Macaca mulatta: one gene and its partners. The protein of the gene in region 4 interacts with the protein of the main gene of each other region in a pairwise test. Links are inferred from orthologs where the notes say so. Each region holds a gene or a part of one and is shown on either strand. Other genes may lie near its edges.

Region 1 (4,194 bases), on a different chromosome or scaffold from region 4:
CCTTCCTCTCTTCTTTCCTTGCAAATGACAAGTGTTTGTATGAGTGTACATGGGTGTACATGTGTGTGCATGTATTTGTGTTCACGTGTATGTATAAATGTGTGCATGTATGTGCAGATATATGTGTGTATGTGTGCATGAATTGTATGTGTGTATGCATGTGCACATGTATGCTTGTTGGTATGCGCATACATGTGTGCATATGTGTACACATGTGCACATGTATGCATGTTGGTATGTGCATACATATGTGCATACGTGTATGTATGTATGCATGAATATACATTCGTGCATATATATGTGTGTGCATGTATACATATGTGTATTTGTGTATATGTGTGCATATATGTATGTATGTACGTGTGTGTGTTGGTGTATATGTGTGCATGTGCATGTGTGTGCATGCAGGTGTGGGTGTGTCCATGCACACATACTCATGCAGTTATGTGATGGGAAGAACCAGTCATTTACCTGGATAAGGCGCACAGGGTTCTGCATGATGTCCTCTCCTCCAAAGAGATAGAGTCTTTGGTCTTTCACAGCGACTGCGGGGTGGAGCACCCCCACGGGCATGCTGGCCATACTCTCCCAGACATTGCAGATGCTGTCATATCTTTCCATGGAGCCCATGAGCTCCTGCCCTTCTCCAATACCCCCGATGGAGAAGATGAAGTTCTTATGGGCAGAGCTTCTGTGGGAGTAGCGGGCCACCAGCATGGGCTCCCCCAGCCTCCACTGGTTGAGTTTGAGGGAGAAGATGTAGACGTTATGACTGACCAGACTCCTCCCTGAGCTGACAGCCATGCCCCCCAGCACGTAGACGCTGCGGTGCAAGGTGACAGCAGAGGCCTTGTACAGCCGTGTCGGGAGTTTGGCAAGGCTCTGCCATTGGCCAGTCTGTTTGCTATACAGTAGGACGTCCCTGGTGGTCTGCTGGCTGTCCTTCCTTCCGCCCAAGAGGATGAGGAAATCTTGGTAAGAGTTTCTTGGAGGGACATGCAATAGGAGTTTGCAGTCTGGGGCGCTGGTGCCACACAAAGAGAACATCTGTCTTTTGGCGGTCTCCAAGATGAGCTGGCATGCAGGCGAGGACTGCAGGAGGGCATCGTTGGCGATGAAGTGTTGGAAGAAGGCTGGGTGGATGTACTGCAGCCTGACCTGCTTGAACAGTTCCTGCATGTATCGCTTCCGGGCCTGGAGGTCATGCTTGATCCAAACCATGAGGGCCTCAAACACCTTTTCTTCCTCCCCACAGAGCCCATCATCTCCCAGATAGTCTCTCAACTCCAAGGCACAGAGCTCCTTCAGGTCGGCTGATGCGGCCACCTCTGGGAAGGACGTCAGTGCCACCTCCCTGGCTTTCTTCTTGAGGGTCTCGCAGCTTAAGATTTCTGAGAGTCTGATCATGCCCAGGCAGTTGCTGGGGGCCAGCTGGCTCTGCAGGTATGAGGAGCAGGCCTCAAACAGCTTGGGGAACTGTAGCATGGAGGCGGCCTCCATTACGGGGAGGACATTGTCAGCATCGATGCGTGCCTCCCCCGTGTACACGTAGGAGACGATCTGGTCCAGGGTTGGGGGGTCAATGCCTTTCAGCTGCACTTTGGCTTCACTCTTCTCCCGGAAGCTGCTGCAGAACATAGCCCTGAAGTAGGGGCTGCTGGAGGCCAGCACGTTGCGGTGGCAGGGGATCTCCCGGGCACCGGCACAGATGCTCACATCAGTCAGGATCCTGCTTTGCCTTAAGCTGTTGAGCTGCCTCAACAAGTCAGAAGAGAAGTCATGATCTTTGAAGAGCACCCCATCTGGAGACTCCTCGTCCATCCTACAAAGAGGGAAGGAAGCCCCCAGAGTCAGCAAGAGTCAAGTCTTTCTCAGCTCAGGTGCTGGAGGGTTCAGCTGCGGGGACTGTAAGACCAGTGCTCCTATTCCATTCCCCATGATGTTTGTGGATGTCGCCACGGATATTGTGTAGGGAAGATTGGAAAGGAAGGCCACATACATCTCAGACCTGAGCTCTTTTGGGTTATGGTTATTTTCGAAAGTAATAAGCATATAGTATCTTCAGCTAATCTGAGAGAAACAACCAACCAAACAAACTAAAGTTGTTGGAAGTTACTCTATTATCAGAAGCTGAAATGTTAGTCTGAAGCAAGATAACAGTCCATGCATTTGGCCAGCAGAAGTTCCTGAGCCTTTTTCCAGATCGATGGCATATCTGTTATTGAGTAAACTTGTCTAAACATCTCTTTCTGGGTGTCAATCATTCCCCAAAGGTGACACTCTGGAGGTGTGGCCCTCTGGTCACTGGACAGAAATGAGGGAAGAAAATGGACCTTTGATACATATATTTAAATATAACTTCATTGAGTCTTGCTTTAAAGATGGAATAAATAGAAGGAAAGACCAAACAATCCCCTGGTTTATTGGATGACACCTGGCTGTCTACCTGCAGAAGAAATAAGCATGAGGGATACTTACCTTGTTTTGCCGCGGTGACATCCACTGGTGCCTGGTCTGGCTTGTCCCCCTGGAGAGTTTCTACCTCTAGCTCTGAGGGAAACCATAAACTCCAGGCCTTTCTTTCAGTTGGCAAATGATTTGTCCTGGGAGATTTCTGGATTTGTTTATGCTGAAGGCACTTTCATAGTTTTCTAGAGCTTTGTGCAAGGACTGCTGGCCAAGGAGACAGTGTATACATTCCAGGGCTAAGAATAGTTGCATATGTACTTTCCACTGTTATGACATGTGACTTTCCAGTTGCCTTTTGCAGCAACCCGAGGGCCTGCAGGGCCCGCGCATGCCCACATGCCGTGTTTCCTTGGCAAGTGTTTACATCGGCAAAAATAGATTGGGAGGAGTGGCTTCTGTTAGAGAAGACTTTGCTGTCTGCTTGGAACCATCCCGAGTCCCCTGTCCTAAAAGTGCCTGGGAATTCTAGCTGTCTGTAAACAGGTTGCTGTGACCTGTGGAGAGTCACTGAAGATGGTTCTGGGCCACAGTGAAGGTGGCAGGTGGTCACAAGGGAAGCCGGAGCATGAGCCTGTGGATGCTATTCAATGGATCCCTATTTCCCCCCATCTGCCTGGCAGGATTGCTGGGGAGAGCTGTGATTTCCTCCTCCAGGAGCCTAGGTGATGAAATCCATGACAAGAGTTGTTTTTTTTTTGTTGAGCACCCCAGGGTTTCCAGACTCATGAAGGCCCAGACCTTTGTCGGGTCTCCTTACTCGGGAGCCTCTGATTGACAGTTGCAAGGCCGAGCTCCTCCTGTCACGTCTGCCTCTCCCAGACACGTGCTGATTGCTCTTCAGCTGGCTTTTTATAGTTCAGACTTCCTTTTCTGTCTTACTTTTCCATTTTGTCTGGTCTGGCAGCTTGAGCTAGAGGCAGGAGGCAAGCCATATTGCTTTAGGGAGAGAGAGAAAGAAGACAAAGGGGGATGAGGAGGAAGAAGAAGCAGGGACAGAGGGAGGGAGAGAGAATAGAGGAGGAAGAGGAGGAGGAGGAAGAGAAGGAGGTAGAGAATTGGGGGAGGAATGAGGAGAGTGATGTGGTAGGAGGCAGCTTTCAATAACAATCAGAATCACGAGAAAGAGTGAAGGGGACCTCAGGTCTGTCCTGCCCCTGCCGTCAGGGAGATTCGTGATTGTCCTAGCCACGAAAGGCAGGCAAGCCTGACTTCGTCTCCTACTCAAAATCTTGCTCAGACTAGTGCGATGGCTTCCCATGCATTTTTTTTTTCTTTGCTCCTAGTGCTTCTCTCTCCAATACATCCACCCTGTCCCCTCTGGAGCAGCCCCTGGGAAGGCAACTCAGAATTTGCCAGTTCTCAGCATCAGGCCCTTCAGTGGCTCCCCGTGTCCGCAGGACTCCTTAGCTGGAATCGGACTGGTGTCCTGTCTGCCTCTGGAACCACGTCTACTGCCACTCATGTGTAGTAGTTTAGCTCCGTGAGACACTTACAGATGTTTGTATGCATCTGGTCGCTGTTGGGGAAGCTGGGCTGACCTGGTCTTTGGGACACCACAGGACAGGGTGGAAGGAAGAGGGTCTCTCATTCACAGTTGCAGATCGTAGAGTGGATTATGCCCAAGAGTCCAGAAGGTCAAGGCCAAGGAAATGGATCCAAAACATGTTACTGGGGCCACGGGCCTGGAGGCCAGAATTAGGAGCAGGAGGCCTAAGCTAAGGGTGT
Region 2 (4,075 bases), on a different chromosome or scaffold from region 4:
GACATGCAAAAGACTATTCACGAATCACACAAAATATACATTCATTGTGCCATCCATCACATTAACAATTGACCTGAAAATACATTATATCCAACTAAGATAACTGTGGAAGGAAGAAGCTGGTTTGAATAATACTTTTAGGTTCTGAATAACCCAGCACAAATTTTAAACAGAGGGTGGCCCAAGAAGAAAGGAGTGGGGATTGGGAAAGACTTAGCACAGGAAGCTGGATTTCTGAACTTTGTGCTCTGCAGGGCTTCTTAACTGTAAGAACAAATCGAGGCTACCCTCTGAGGCATCTGATTGGATTTAAATGAGGAAATTTGTTCTTTCACTTATAAAATTGTGCCAGTTTTGAGAGTTTGCCCACCCTGTTTTAGTAACCTAAACATTTCTAGAAAATCTGTATAAAGATAAATCTCTTAGGACAAAGTATTCACAACCAGCAAACTCACACACATGAAAATGACTTAAATTAAGGGATGAATTAATTGTGTAAACACACAGTGTATCTCTTCTTCGTGAGCTCCTGGACTCTCCTTTCACTATATCCTACTTTCAAGGACAAGGGAGGAGAGAGCTGTACATATAGTTAGATAAAAGATGAGAAGATTCCTTCTGGCATGTTTCTGTTGGTAAAGGGAACTATTTTCCAAAAAGTCATCTGAAAGGAACAGTAGGTTCTGTGAATTCTCCTAAAATCAGGAGGGATGTTAAGGCCCACCAGAAAATGTGTGCTGGCACCCAATCTGGATTAAGGTGTTAACCCGGCACCAAGTCTCTGGTCCAGAATTATCTGCAAACATATTATCCTGGCCAGGAGCTCCCCAGATAGGATCAGAAAAGAAGAGACTGTAAATGGAAAGAAAGATAAGCTAAGCATGTGCTTTGGGTAAGAAGTCCCAGCCCAAGGAGATGCCTGGGCTGTGGTCTGGGACTGGAGCCGCCTTAGTGGGAGGTAGTCAGAGTGTCTGAGGTAGAAGACCCCGGGGAAGGAACGCAGGGCGAAGAGCTGGACTTCTCTGAGGATTCCTCAGCCTTCTCGTCGTTTCCTGGCGGGGTGGCTGGAGAGATGGGCAAGAGACCCTCCTTCTCACGTTTCTTTTGCTTCATTCGGCGGTTCTGGAACCAGATCTTCACTTGGGTCTCGTTAAGCTGCAGGGATGCAGCGATCTCCACCCTGCGGGCACGCGTCAGGTACTTGTTGAAGTGGAACTCCTTCTCCAGCTCCGTGAGCTGCTTGGTAGTGAAGTTGGTGCGCACCGCGTTGGGTTGACCCAGGTAGCCATACTCTCCAACTTTCCCTGGGGCAAAGTGGGAAGCCATGAGATGGAAAGGTAAAAATTTTTAAACCGACTTGAGATTACCTACACACTTCATGGCAACACTCAGGTAAAGAAAAGATCAAGAACTCAACACAAATCGGGCTGTGGAGGGTGAGTGATGAGGTGTAAAGTGTTAACCTGAAGTCAACCATTAGCGTGGTCAGATCGGTGATTAATGGAGCCTTAAGATATTAACAGAACACTACCGTCACAATAACCACCCCCACACACTTCCTACTTCCCAAATGTATAAAATCCTTGAGAACACGCCAATCCCTGAGGCTTCTTTGCCCCAACACCTCTGGGTACCCTCTCCATGCACTACAACACTAGTCTTAAAGCCTTTAAAAAAAAAAAGATAATTATTAATTTTCCTTGGAAATTAAGCATACCAGCTCCTTCCAGATTAATCAAGGAGCATCCACCAACCCCCAGGACTGACCTGTTTTGGGAGGGTTTCTTTTGACTTTCATCCAGTCAAAAGTCTGCGCTGGAGAAGATGTCTCCGATGCAGGAGAGCGACAGGCTTCTTGGTGGCTGGCGTGGAGAGGGGACAAGGAGTTATTATACGTAGCCAGGGCCAGGCTCTGGTGCTCTTGTCCATATGAGTGGTGAATGTACTGAGGCGAGCCCACCGCGCCCCCGGCATAACCCTGGTGGTGGTGGTGATGCTGTACCATGGGAGATGAGAGATTTCCAGAGTAAACAGCGGGAGCGCACTGGGGGTACCCACCACTTACGTCTGCTTCCTGATTTAACGCGTAGGGGCTGTAAGGCGCACTGAAGTTCTGTGAGCCATAGCTTGGACCACAACTCGAGTGGGAGTAGGACACCCCCAGGTTCCCGGAAGTCTGGTAGGTAGCCGGCGGGGGGTGGTGATGGTGGTGGTGGTGGTGGTGGTGAGGCGAACCGATCTGCACCCCCCTGCCCACTAGGAAGCGGTCGTCGCCGCCGCAGCTGTTGGTACTGACCGCGCACGACTGGAAAGTTGTAATCCCATGGTCCGAGGGGTAGGCTCGGGCTGAGCAGGTCCCCGAGTCGCCACTGCTAAGGATGGGGTATTCCAGGAAGGAGTTCATTCTTGCATTGTCCATCTGTCACTGAGTGACCTGGTCCTGCGAAGCCCTGGGTGACCGTGCCAACTTTCTCACTTCCTCCATGGGGCCTGAGAAGAAAAATGATATGAATGTACAGTGCGCAAGAGGGGGGGGCGGGAGGGCGGAGGACGCTAGGGGAGGGGCACGTGACGGTGTCAGCCAATGGCTGAGCCTCCTGCAAAAGTTTGCCGGCTTCCGCGGTGATGGATCACCGTTTCAGTGGCATTTAAATCCCCGGCGCTCCGCCGTCTAGGTGACGCGCAGTCGCCCCCCCAGGCAGCCCAGGCGGCGGCAGCTGCTGCGGCGACTGCAACGGCCGATTTGGAGTGCTGGAGCGAAGAAGAGCAAAGGCTGCCTTCTGCGCGCGCCCGACTCCGCTGCCCGCCCCGCCAGGCCTCCGGGAGGTGGGGGCTGAGAGGCGTCCCCCGCTCCCGCCCCCTCCCCACTGTGCACTGAAAGATGAACTGGCGAGAGGTGAGAAGGGAAGAGGGCTCCCGGCTCTCTCGGGGCGCGAGTTAGTGGGCCGGAGTTCGCCGGGTGGCCGCAGGTTCGCGGGCCCAGCCCGGAGCGCGCCCAACCGGAAGGCGGGGAATCCGGCTGACACCGAGCCCCGGGTTCCCAGGCCGCCTTCTCTGCTCTGAGGCTGGGCTGGGAGACCATGGGGCTGTGAGGAGCGCACAGAACCGTGGCAGGGGGCGAGGCTGGGCCACCGGCTCTCCAAGCGCGGAATGGAGAGGGAAGAGCGCAGAGGGCTGGGTGGGAGGAACTCGGGTGGGGGTGAAGGAGACGAGGGCAAGAAAAGAAACTTCCCTTCTTCCAGGAGAGTCTCCGAAACCCTCTCCCCACAGCCCCCGCTCTTCATTAGCATGGCAATGAGGAGTTTCTGTAATTCGACCGGGGAAGGGGGGGTGCGGAAGAGCCCTGGAAACAGGGATTGCCGGAAAAGGCCGGGGGCGACCGGGCTCTTCTTCCCCACCCTCCCTCTCTCCTCGCTCTCCGCCGTTTCTTTCCCACTCAGTTTTGCAGCGGGAGCCCTCCGGGATGCGGAGCTACTCGACCGCCGGATTTTTAGGGGTAGGAGGCGGGGGAGAGAGATGACGCTGGCGGACGTGGCCAGCGTGGGGGCCGGGCCGTGCGCTGCAGGCCATCTGCCGGCGCCCGAGACCCAGGAGCCTCCGCTCCCGCGTGGGCCTCGCAGGGCCGGTCCACAGCTCCAACAAAGTAGCTGAACTCCCTTCGTTGCGTTCCTCTTTTTCTGGAGAGGAATGTTAGAAGAGAGAGAGAGCTTCCTTTTGTAACCTTCCTCATTCTGCTGCGCGTCTAGAGTGGGTGCGGGGACTGGCAGGTGGGAGGAGCGGTGGACAGATGGCTGATGGTGGACAGAACACTTTACCCCAACGACACCTCCTCCCCTTTCCAACTGGCTGGGTAGTTGCTTATGAGAACCTTCAAGTCTTTCCTTAGAGAGACACGTGAAAATCTGAGCGTCATCCCAGGCCAAGGGTCCTGTTCCCCATCACCCTCCTTCTACCCTGACGCTGCTGAGGTCGTTAATTGTTGTTTACTATTAGGTTTCACGTCAACCCTGGGCTTGTAGAGAGGAAAAAGCCAAACGGAGACCAATAATTGATGCAGTCTTGGGTAGGAGAAATC
Region 3 (4,192 bases), on a different chromosome or scaffold from region 4:
AGTGCAGGGGGACTGGATGACACCTATCTGTCAACCCAGCTAATACCAGGGGGCAGTCTGAAGTACTTGATGCCCCATTCGTTGCTTGCTCACCTGGGGCTTTGTGGGATGCTGAGTTGGTTCTGCACAGCAAGGGCCACACTGTCACCCTTTTGGAACACCATGTCATAAGGGCCTTCTCCAAACATCATGGCATATAGCACGCAGCCTAGGGACTGAGCATAACTTGGTTAGTCCCTAGAAGGGGACCAATGGAGATAACATCGCTCCCCTTACTTCTGTGGTAAAAGACTACATAAGCTAAAAAGAATAAGCTGACCTCAGCCACATGGCACCACCAGGGCACAGAGAAACTGCCAGTCGGTTGGAGGCCTCCGCAGCCCCTGCTTAGCTTAGCCCCTGCTCTTCAGTACTGATACTGAGCTGTACTCACCTTGTTCGGGGCAGGGATTATACCACATCCGGTGCAACTGGGTACAGTATCAGTGACAGTTCCCAGGAAGGAAGTTGAAGTGGATGGGGACATACTGTGGTTCCTGGGGCCCCATGCAACAGAAACCAACGACCTACTCTACTCCACAGCAGGTACAGAGCCACAGCCCTCCCTACCCAGATACCCACCCACATGCTCCTCACCCAGACATCAGTCCGCTCATCGATGACACAGTGACTCTGCACAGAGAAGAGCTCTGGGGCTCGGTAGGAGATGGTGCACCGCTGGGCTGCCCAGTCCTGGAACAGTGATCCCAGAGCTCAAAAGTGGGGCACTCGTCATGGTCATGTGACCAAACTGGGGCATGCACCAGAAGGGGTGGGAATGGGGAACAGGTGAGAAAAGGAACCTGGAGATTTTTTTACCTGCAGGGTCAGAGCCTGGCGGGAGCCCTCCACATTGATGCATGCTTGATTCATAGAACCCAAGTCCATTAAAACTGGCTGCCCCTCATCTCCGAGCAATATATTGGTGGGCTTCAAGTCCCTGTAGGGAAGTAGAAGTGACCTATGAGCATCTCTGGACAGGAAGGCTGGAATCCCAGCAAGCAAAAGAATCATACAGGCTGTTTCTTGGGAGAACAGAAACCTCCCATTTCTCTTGGTAAGGCTCTTCCTCTGGGCCCCAGCAAGCATACAGGGTCCTCCCACTGACCTGTGGGCATAACCCTTGGCATGAATGGCCTCAAGGCCTCTGCAGATCCCCAGCAGCAGCCAAAGGATTTGATCCTCAGTCAGGAAGTTGCCTTTGTCCTTCAGCCTTTCTATCTCATTCCACAGCGTACCTCTCTGCAACACAAGTTTCCCTACAGTTGGAGATGTTTTTGGAGCCTCTGCTCCTTAGGCCTGATCCCTTCCCTATGTCAAAGCCTATCAGCCCTTTCATGATACACACCTCAAACTCAAAATCTAAAGTGGCCAAACCCAGGACATGGTCCCTGCTTCCTAACATGCTGGACTGCTCACATAGCCCATGGGTAGGTGGCTCTGTTGCAACCCCCTCCATAACCGGGAGTCTTTCTGACCTTGAAGAACGGTAGCAGCAGCCAGGCCTCATGCTTAGCACCCCGCTCCCTCAGACAGTAAGCCACGAGGCGAAGGATGTTTGGGTGACTGAAGAGGCGATGCATGTCGGCTTCTCGCTGGGCCTCCTCCCGGTCCTGCTGCTCGTGACACAGGATTCGCTTCAGGGCGTAGAAGTGTCCATCATGTAACCCTTCCACTAGGTCCACATAGCTGAACCCACTGTGGGCCAAAGGGGTCAATGAAGGGTCATGGTCATCTCCCACATGGCTAAGACCTAGCGAAATTTCCTGGTGGGGAGTGGGGTGTCCTTCCCATTTAGCAGAAACCCTCCCAAGATGTGGCTCTAAGAGAAATCTGAAGAATATTACACTGTGAGCTCCTCAGGAGCAGAGATACAGAAATCTTTGAGGTCCTATGGTCGTAATAGAGACCTCTGCACGTGACAGATGCTAAATAAATAATAGCCAACACTTTTTTTTTTTTTTTTTTTGAGACTGAGTCTGGCTCTGTCACCCAGGCTGGAGTGCAGTGGCCGGATCTCAGCTCACTGCAAGCTCCGCCTCCCGGGTTTACGCCATTCTCCTGCCTCAGCCTCCCGAGTAGCTGGGACCACAGGCGCCTGCCACTTCGCCTGGCTAGTTTTTTGTATTTTTTAGTAGAGATGGGGTTTCACCGTGTTAGCCAGGATGGTCTCGATCTCCTGACCTCGTGATTCGCCCGTCTCGGCCTCCCAAAGTGCTGGGATTACAGGCTTGAGCCACCGCGCCCGGCCCATAATAGCCAACACTTATCAAGTACTTAAGAACCACGCACTGGGTGAGACATTTTATACACATTATCTCATTTAATCCTCACAACTCCATCAGTGAGGGATGATAATCATCTCCATTAAACATATGAAAAAAACATGGTTTATCAAGGTCACATGAGGTGGATTTAGCAGGCCTGGCTCCAGAATCCACCTTCTTGATGCTGTGTAGCTAGGCTCTGTCAGGTGAGAGGAGATAGGGATAGGGATAAAACCCTTGTGCCCCAAGCACGTGCACACCGCTTTCCTTCAATGACCACAACCTTGAGGCCTAGTTAACTGACTTCCAAACACTCACCCCTCCCCCAGTTTCTGGATGAAGAGGTAGCGCTTATTGTCAATGATGACAGTTCCCCGAGAGCAGACACACAGCGCGTGGCCCATAATGTTTCAGTCATCCTCTTCAAGGACAGTCTGAGGCTACCGAAGAGCTCGTCCAGGGTGAGTGGGCTCTTCCAGGAGATGCGCTGGGGGCCAAGCGGATCATGCTGGAAAGAAAACAACGGCAGGGTCTCACACAGGTCCGGCACAATCTAGACGACTCATGAAGTACCAAGGCGGAGAGCTCAGGCCCAGGTCTCTGGAACCTACACTATTGTCTAGAGAAAATGGGCCTTGCTCCTTCGCCAGCTTCAAGCGGCGGGGGTCAGGGGCCTTATGGCCTCAGGATACACAGCGGCTACCGGGCCACTTCCTCCAACCCCAGCCCACCTTTGGGCAGGCCCCGCTCCCACACCCGTCGCGCCGCAAAGACAGAGCACAGCGTAGTTTCAGAGGACGTGCGAAGCTCACGCCCACTCCTGGCAGGGCCCACCCCCGGCCTAGGAGCCCAGAGTCTGGAATGGGCCAGCCTGCACTCCCCGACTGACCTGGCTCGGGACAGAGCGAAGCGCCACCGACCGGAAGCAGTGCTGACATCATCAGTCCGCGGCGGCGTAACGGCCCGCGGTATCTTAGCAACCGCTGGGCATCTGGAGGATGTGGGGGCGCGGAGCTGAGAGGCCCAGGGCGAGCTAGGTCTAGGGGTGGACGGGTCCCAGGACCCTGGTGAGGGTTCTCTACTTGGCCTTCAGTGGGGGTCAAGACGCAGGCATCTGCGCCAAAGGGGAGCAAAGCCGGGCTCGGCCCGAGGCCCCCAGGACCTCCATCTCCCAATGTTGGAGGTAGGAGGCTTCATACCTCCGGCGCTCTGGGGCAGAAAGCGGCTACTACACTGCAGCCCGGAGGGGATTCCAGGTAGGGGCGGGTCTGGTGGCCTGGTCTCCTGATCCCTTACAACCTTCCGGGCTCTGGCCTGTATCCCACTACCTCTACTCTCAGTGGTTAAGAGCTCAGGCTTGTGAACCAGACTTTCAGTTTCTAAATTGAGTGTTAATAGCATACTAGGTGTGTAACCTCGGGCAAGTTACTTAACCTCTCGGATCCTTACTTTTAGTAGCTGTAAAATAGGTATAATAGTACCTAATGTTAAGTAGCTTAACTGTGAGGCCAGACTGACTAGTTCAAACGCCAGCTCTGTTAACGTAGTTGTGTGACCTTGGACAGGCTACTTAATGTTTCCCTCCTTTCCTCTCCTCCTCTGTAAAATGGAAATGATAATTATCTACTTCATGGAGTTGTTTGAAGATTAAATTAGATGTACAGTGTTTAATACAATATCTGACACATAGCCTTCAGTACATGTCAATAAACAGTAATTATTATTACCCTGATCTTCACATCCCATTCTTGAGATTGTAAAGTCAAAAGAAAAGGAAATTCACAAGTTTCCAAGCCTTGGCACAAAGCAGTTGTCCTTAACATCTGTTGCTGAGGCAGGCAGGGTAAGCTGGAGAGGGGTGCACTTCCAAAGAAGGTGGAATGGCC
Region 4 (4,235 bases):
ACAATCAGCAAATGCAGTGTATAAAAATAAATGAATTAGCTGTGGGAATGGAGGTGTAAATAGGCACACAATTTGCCGCTATTGCTCTCTCCTCTGTTTGCATAATAGTATTTGGATACTAATCTTGACATTGTGGCTGTGTTTCTTTCTACTTTTGTCTTCTTGCATTCCTTATGTGTCCCTGTCTTCCCCACTCCCTATGTCTGAGTCCAGACAGTCACAGGTGCTTCCCAAGTATATTGGAATGGAGTGGCCCTGTGGTGACAGAGAATGCTTCCTGTGTGGATTAAGGCACCTGGAAAATTTGTCCCTTAGGGATCTGGGAACTCCAGGCATGCTGGCCTCGATGTTCTCAGCTCTGTTTCCTCTCTGCTTTCCCAGATTCCTGCATGGGTCCTTAAGGGATCACCTGGAGGTACAGGTCAATTGTCCATGTAGTGCCCAGATGGACTTTAGTTTGCTAAAAAAGTAAGGACTGGAGGTATAATATAAAGAGAGACTGTTATGAGGCCTTCACAGCAGGTATCTCTAGTAGGAAGCTCATGAGCTAGCATTTTCACAAAAAAGAAAGAAGAAGGGGGGAGGGAGGTGTTGGAGGACGAGAAAGAGGTCTCAGGGCTAAGAGACAGGTATTAATGGCCTAGGTAGCTGTGTTAGAGGTGAAAAGGAAGTGGGAAAAAGACTAAGATGGAGAGGGATGCCTGAGACCAGAGTGAGGCAGGACAAGCAAGGTGCTGAACAGAAAGTGGTGATGAGAAACAGGGGAGGCAGAGGGTCAGAAGCCAGGAGAGAGGCTAGATTGAAGAAAAGCACCCACAGCTGACCTCCTAACACTTGTGGTAGCATCCCTGCCCATCCTCCAAAAGCCTTAGGCTCGGATGGGGCATTCAGTGGCCATGGTTCCATTTCAAAACAGTCATCAAGCCCAGCGCTTTTATCTTCTTGCTGAGATATCCTGTCTCTGCTCCTCTGCACAACCCCCTCTCTCCCAAAATCAGGCCTGTTCTTGCACCTGGATTCTTGCTGGATCACCTGCCAAATCTCCTGGCTTCCCTCCTAGCCCCCTGCAGGCCATTCTACACATTAGAATCACCTGAAGGCGGGGGTTGATTCTAATTAATTCAGATGCTCAGGTGGTACCCCAGACCAATAAAATCAATGTTTTGGGGGTGGGGATCAGGCATCAGTAATTTTAAAAGATCCCCAGGTGACTTCAATGCACAATAACGTTGGGGAGCTACTGAGCCTAAGGCATTTTCCTAAAGCACCAATTTTATCCCTTTCCTGTTGAAATGGGCTCAGAGGTTCAGCTGCTGCAGCACAGAAAATGAGGTAGTTAAGAGAGGAGTGTGGACACTATTGTCCATGCTTTAGGATTTCTAGACTTGCATCGAGAATCCCTGGATTTCCTATTTATGCAAACACTATGAGAGGGTCATGGGTGGAGAGTTATGTTTGTTAAGCATCTACTTAATGTTTAATTGCAAGATGGATAATATCTTTCACCTGAATTCACCAAACCTTTGCTTACAGAATTGCTTTTCCAGGCTTGAAAGCCTTCTAACTGCCTTCTATTTTTCTGCCTCTTCTAATCCTGTCATCTTATGGTGATGTCATCTTTCCCCTTCTAAGAAGTGTGCTCTTACTACTTCAGACTCCCCTCATCTGTGACGTAAAAAGACTGGTTTGGTAGAGCAGGTGAGGATAATGTAGGACCTAATATGGAGGGTTAGTACTCCAAATGCGTAATTGAGACCCTGAGTACTATGACTTCTGGATGGGAAAAACAAGGTAGTAGGAGTTCATGGATGTATGGGGTATTTATATGATCCTCAGGGTCAAAAGTACCCTGTAGAAATTCTTTTCCATTAAATGTTGCAGGTATTAAGAGTTCATAGGAAGAGAAAGAGCAGTTTATATTTTTATATCACATACAGATTACAAAGCATGTACATTAATCCTTATATCTACAATATCATGGGAAGGGGGTATTGTCTCCATTTTGCAATATAGCATTTTAAAGTTAAGATCCCAAATTTTAGGTTCCAATCCTGACTGCATCTTTCCAGCTGTGTGATCCTGGGACAACTTTACTTCTCAAAGGCTCAGTTTCCTCATGGAAACAGTGGACTTAGGGTGAGGGGTTAGCTGGGGTCATGCATGAAGTTCCTGGCAAGTTGCTTAAGCACTATTAGCTATTACTATTTTGTACAGATGAGAGAGTTGGGGTTCAGAGGAGTGAAGTGCTCATTTTCATAGTTAATGGTGCTTAGATTTGGAACTCATGGTCTACATATATAGTGACCATTTAGGATACAGTTAATTGCTACAAAATTCTTAGCTCCTTCTTTTAGATAAAGAAATGAACTCAGAGGCGCACTGGCCTGCCCTGTGGACTTCACAGCTGGCAAGTGGTCCCTAGTTTTCATGAGCCAATGTGGCCCCACATCCAGTGTCTGACACTTACGAGATATGGACGCTCCTGAGGCGGCCCTTGCGGAAAGTGACGATGGTATTGCGGCAGCAGCGACTCTCATAGTAGTAGCACCTAACATTGCTGCTGGCTGTGCAGCAGCACTTACAGTTGGGATCATTGGCCCAAGAGCAGCAACACCAATGGCAGTTGGGGCTCTCAGAACAGGTGCAGTGGCAGAACTGGCAGTTCCGCTCATCTTTGTAAGGGCAGGGGAAGCAGGTGCAGTTCCGCTCTGAGGTGAAGATGAACTTGCAGCACAGACAGGAGCATAACTGAGGACAGCATCTCTGCCATGTACAACATGGACAGCAAACGCACATAGCAGTTTCCATGGCGCCTACATGATTACCGCTGGCCTCCTAGGGCTCTTGATGCCTCCTCTACCAGAATACTGCTATCAGTTCTCCAGTGGAGGAGTCCTTCCTCCCCTGCGTGAGGCCGTCAGCTTGAGAGTTGCAAGAAGTTGGCTGTTATGAGGCCTTCACAGCTGGTGTCCCTACCAGGAAGCTCGTAGGCTGGCATTTACATATATCAGTCTGAGGGTATTTGCTTATGTCACAATCCCTGTGTCTCTACCATGCTGGGTGGGTAGGAGGATGCGGCCTTGTGGGTGGTAGCAGGTATGTTGGTGAACACTCCATGCTTCTATGGAACCAGCTGTAGAGGAGTGGTGATGCAATGAGCATCCTGGAAGTTTAGTTGTCATTTGTCACCTTTTGGATAATGGAGTAGATTTCTGAAGTTATTTCTCCTTGTTTGGTGTTCTGCCTGCGATTTGGGCAAGTGGACTTCAGATTATGTCTTCATAGACTGAAAGACTTGGGTATGGTTAATTAGAAAAGTAGATTCACATGTTTTTCCACGTTAGCGGAATTGATAGAATTCTATTTGAACGAAGGACAGTGTTTACAAATATTACCAATGCCATGTTTAAAGAGATATCACCATTCAGAGAGAGAGTTAAAGAAAAAATATATACAGGTTCACTTAGGAACTTCTTTCAGTAGTAATTGATTTTTATCAATGCATAGTCACTGCTCATTTTCATGAAGCTTTATACATAAGTCACTCTGAATATTTCTTTGCTTTTTTGTAGCTTCATGGTGTTTGGGTGAGGTTCAGGCTTTCTGTCTTTTCCCATCCTACTCCCACTCCAAAAAGAGGCTGGAACTCTACGTGAAATCTTTAACTGTTCTGCTAGTATACGCTCAGTATCCCTAGAAAAAAGACCCTATATTTTAGGGAAGAATTTCGCTTTCCCATTTATGCAACTTGCAAAGATTAAAAGAACAGAAATTTCATGGTCATGGTACATTAGAGTATGAATACTGTCTTATTTTTATAAAAAGCAGAAGTGAGAGCTGAGTTTGGCTGCAGGAATTTACTGCATAATTTATTATCTCTCCCTATGGTTATCACCTTTATAATAGGAGAGAAAATCACTGAGTGCCAACTATGCCAGCCACACATCGATACTAGATTTCTACAAGTGAAAATCCTGGATCATAGGGTATGTGCTTTATCTGTCTTTTTTTAATGCAAAACGCTCAGTTTCTTACTCAAATGTGCCAGTTAATACCAGCAAGGAATATAAGACATTCAAAAAAGTGAAACACCTTTTCCCCACATGTTTGCCAAAACTGAGTTTTATCAATATCTCTCTCCGTTCTCCAGGCACACAGGTTAGAGTTTCATTCCCAGATTTATGATACATTTTCACGATTGCTTTCTGTAAGGTCTTATTAAAAACTTATTAATA
Region 5 (2,751 bases), on a different chromosome or scaffold from region 4:
GAGATTGCACTCTGGCCTGGGCAACAAGAGCAAAACTCCGTTTTTTTTGTTTGTTTGTGTGTGTGTGTGTGTGTGTGTGTGTGTGTATTTATTTATTTATTATGTTGGAATCCATTTTGTATTTTAAATCAATGGTCCCCGACCTTTTTGGCACCAGGGACTGGTTTTGTGGAAGACAATATTTTCACAGACCAGGGTCAGGGGTGGTTTTGGGATGATTCAAGTGCGTTACATTTATTGTGCACTTTATTTCTACTAGTATTACATTGTAATATATAATGAAATAATTATATAACTCACCATAATGTAGAATCAGTGGGAGCCCTGAGTTTGTTTTCTTGCAAGTAGACATTCGCATCTGGGGATGTTGGAGACAGTGAGAGATCATCAGGCATTAGATTCTCATAAGGAGTACACAACCTGGATTCCTCACATGTGCAGTTCACAATAGGTTTCACTCTCCTATGCGAATCTAATGCCCTTGCTGATCTGACAGAGGTGGAGCTCAGGCTGTAACTTGAGCCATACAGGGAGTGGCTGTAAATACAGATGAAGCTTCATCTACTGGTGACCTCCTGCTGTGTAGCCTGATTCTTAACAGGCCATGGACCAGTATCAGTCTGTGGCCCAGGAGTTGGGGACCTCTGTTTTCAATGTCTCATTTTAAAATATGCAAGAACAAGGGACATGCTTCCTCTTTAACCTTTGTTTATATATATACAGCCTGAACATTAACTAGAGGTAACAAATACAGATAGAATATCATCTTAATTTAGGGTGGTGTATCATCAGTTTTCCGGAAATTAAATGAGTTTTATTGTATAGGAACATTTTCCTAATCTGCCCCAGAAATCGTTTTGAGCAGAAACAGATAAGGCCTGAAATTTCCACATGAATTATGTGAATATTGTTTTCATCTTGCAGAATTGTGATCTGTCTGGGTGTGATCTTCAAGAAGCCAACCTGAGAGGGTCCAACGTGAAGGGAGCTATATTTGAAGAGATGCTGACACCACTACACATGTCACAAAGTGTCAGATGAGAATTTTAGGGGCTGGAGGAAGATATACAAGATGAAAATGTTTTCCTTATCACTTTTCTTTCTCCACCCACTCAGTTGTCTAGAAGAAATAACACCGTAAGGAAATTTAAAAAAAAACATTTAGAGGATTATGCTTGTTCTGAGCGGTGCATAAGGGAAAAAACTGACTTTTTTTCCATTTTCTGATTTTTAACAGAAAAGCACTCATTTAATAGATGTAGGGAAACTAGATATTGCTGCCTTTTGAACGGGGTAGGGGGGTTTACCTGGTTTTATGACCAGGAATAGTATCTATTATATTTGCTTTTAAATAGGCATGATGTGGAAATACCATCTTGGTTTGAGATGCATTTGAGGATTTTAATTTATGGAAAGCACAACATATGCAATTATATTTATTGAATACCTAGATGCAGTATGGATATTTAAATTGTTAAAACTTTATGAAAACTTGGAAAAGGTTGTTCAGGTTTATAAATAGCTTTAGTGATGCCTCCTCTCTTTAAATACCTGTCACACCATATGAATATGGTGAGATCAGACTCCCTAAGACTCTTTTCAGGTTCATTTTTAAAATGTTTACTTTTTAGGACAAAACAGTAGCTAAATTAAAGTAATATCCAGTTCTTACTGATTGAGACAGAGTGGAAAGAAAGACATCATTGTACATCACTGTCATTCCAAAGGTACAGTGGGACTCTGGATGGAGGAAGCACTTACCTATCACTACAACACTTATAAGTGAGAATTTCTCAGAATTTCATTCTAGGCAAGTTCCACTCAACACCAGACCAAGCAATTCTATTTACACTGTTAGCCTAGTTTTCTCATACAATCATCACAAGGATAAGAAGACACTTCAAAACCAAAAAACCAAGGTGCATCATTAATATTCATTTAATTCAAATACCGAATAGTTGACATAGGGCCAGCTTAGAAATAGATACTAAATCCAGAGCTACTGCAATCAAAGCATATATGAATGAAGATGGTAGAGTTGCCTGCTAAAAGGCAATGTAATGTAATTGCAGCTAGAACCCTACAGTGGGGAATGAGGAATTTTAAACACACATTTGATTACAGCCACCAAAAAATATATGTAAAGTAAAAATAAAGGCATTTGGCTGGTCCAAGGTGTAATACCAATCAGTCAGCACCTGTGATTCTTCTACATATATATATATATATATATATATATATATGTGTGTGTGTGTGTGTGTCCTAAACAAATTGTAGCCCAATTTTCTTGAGTCATTATCTCTGCAGCAGCAGAGGAAGGACCTGTACCTCCCTACCAATGACCTGGTGTCCTTATTTCTACCCCAAGAGCAGGGATATTAGCTGTGTCCAAATGGGTTCTGAATTCTACAGACTCATCAACATGAGGCAAGGAATCATTGAAAACCACCTGTGTCTCCTTTGGGAGAATGACATATCTTTAGTATTTACGTAGCTTATTCTTGTATATCTACATATGCAAAGCTTTCCTTAACAGTAAAGGGTACATATGCATAGTGGGAGGAGATCAGACCTTTACAGGTGAAGGAAAGCAACTTCAGAAATGAATTATTTTCTTTGCTTTATTATTTTTACCAAGACAGAGAAGTATTGTATTGAGAGATAATCTATTTTCATAATCAATATGTGCCTAAATTATATTTAAATCATTTCACTCTGTACTATATTTTCAGGAATTATAGAATGTGTTAT

Evidence for each region.
Region 1: the proteins of TRIM42 (region 4) and KLHL38 interact in binary tests that used the Homo sapiens proteins (3 or more experiments, as listed by UniProt). The two-hybrid records come from large-scale screens. The link is inferred for Macaca mulatta from reciprocal best matches to the Homo sapiens genes TRIM42 and KLHL38.
Region 2: the proteins of TRIM42 (region 4) and HOXA1 interact in binary tests that used the Homo sapiens proteins (3 or more experiments, as listed by UniProt). The two-hybrid records come from large-scale screens. The link is inferred for Macaca mulatta from reciprocal best matches to the Homo sapiens genes TRIM42 and HOXA1.
Region 3: the proteins of TRIM42 (region 4) and STK16 interact in binary tests that used the Homo sapiens proteins (3 or more experiments, as listed by UniProt). The two-hybrid records come from large-scale screens. The link is inferred for Macaca mulatta from reciprocal best matches to the Homo sapiens genes TRIM42 and STK16.
Region 5: the proteins of TRIM42 (region 4) and KCTD9 interact in binary tests that used the Homo sapiens proteins (3 or more experiments, as listed by UniProt). The two-hybrid records come from large-scale screens. The link is inferred for Macaca mulatta from reciprocal best matches to the Homo sapiens genes TRIM42 and KCTD9.

What each region holds. Positions count from the first base shown.
Region 1 is NC_133413.1:134,062,676-134,066,869, forward strand, and holds the start of KLHL38 (kelch-like protein 38), read right to left. Parts: upstream 2,808-4,194; 5' UTR 2,565-2,807; coding exon 2,479-2,564; intron 1,823-2,478; coding exon 472-1,822; intron 1-471.
Region 2 is NC_133408.1:101,251,819-101,255,893, reverse strand, and holds the start of HOXA1 (homeobox protein Hox-A1), read right to left. Parts: upstream 2,812-4,075; 5' UTR 2,420-2,811; coding exon 1,768-2,419; intron 1,305-1,767; coding exon 949-1,304; 3' UTR 1-948. UniProt on the Homo sapiens protein: Sequence-specific transcription factor. Regulates multiple developmental processes including brainstem, inner and outer ear, abducens nerve and cardiovascular development and morphogenesis as well as cognition and behavior.
Region 3 is NC_133417.1:124,492,864-124,497,055, reverse strand, and holds the start of STK16 (serine/threonine-protein kinase 16), read right to left. Parts: upstream 2,813-4,192; 5' UTR 2,711-2,812; coding exon 2,625-2,710; intron 1,738-2,624; coding exon 1,518-1,737; intron 1,282-1,517; coding exon 1,148-1,281; intron 980-1,147; coding exon 859-979; intron 733-858; coding exon 637-732; intron 216-636; coding exon 94-215; intron 1-93. UniProt on the Homo sapiens protein: Membrane-associated protein kinase that phosphorylates on serine and threonine residues. In vitro substrates include DRG1, ENO1 and EIF4EBP1. Also autophosphorylates. May be involved in secretory vesicle trafficking or intracellular signaling.
Region 4 is NC_133407.1:43,684,333-43,688,567, reverse strand, and holds the start of TRIM42 (tripartite motif-containing protein 42), read right to left. Parts: upstream 2,809-4,235; coding exon 2,468-2,808; intron 1-2,467.
Region 5 is NC_133413.1:27,175,514-27,178,264, reverse strand, and holds the end of KCTD9 (BTB/POZ domain-containing protein KCTD9), read left to right. Parts: intron 1-924; coding exon 925-1,041; 3' UTR 1,042-2,247; downstream 2,248-2,751. UniProt on the Homo sapiens protein: Substrate-specific adapter of a BCR (BTB-CUL3-RBX1) E3 ubiquitin-protein ligase complex, which mediates the ubiquitination of target proteins, leading to their degradation by the proteasome.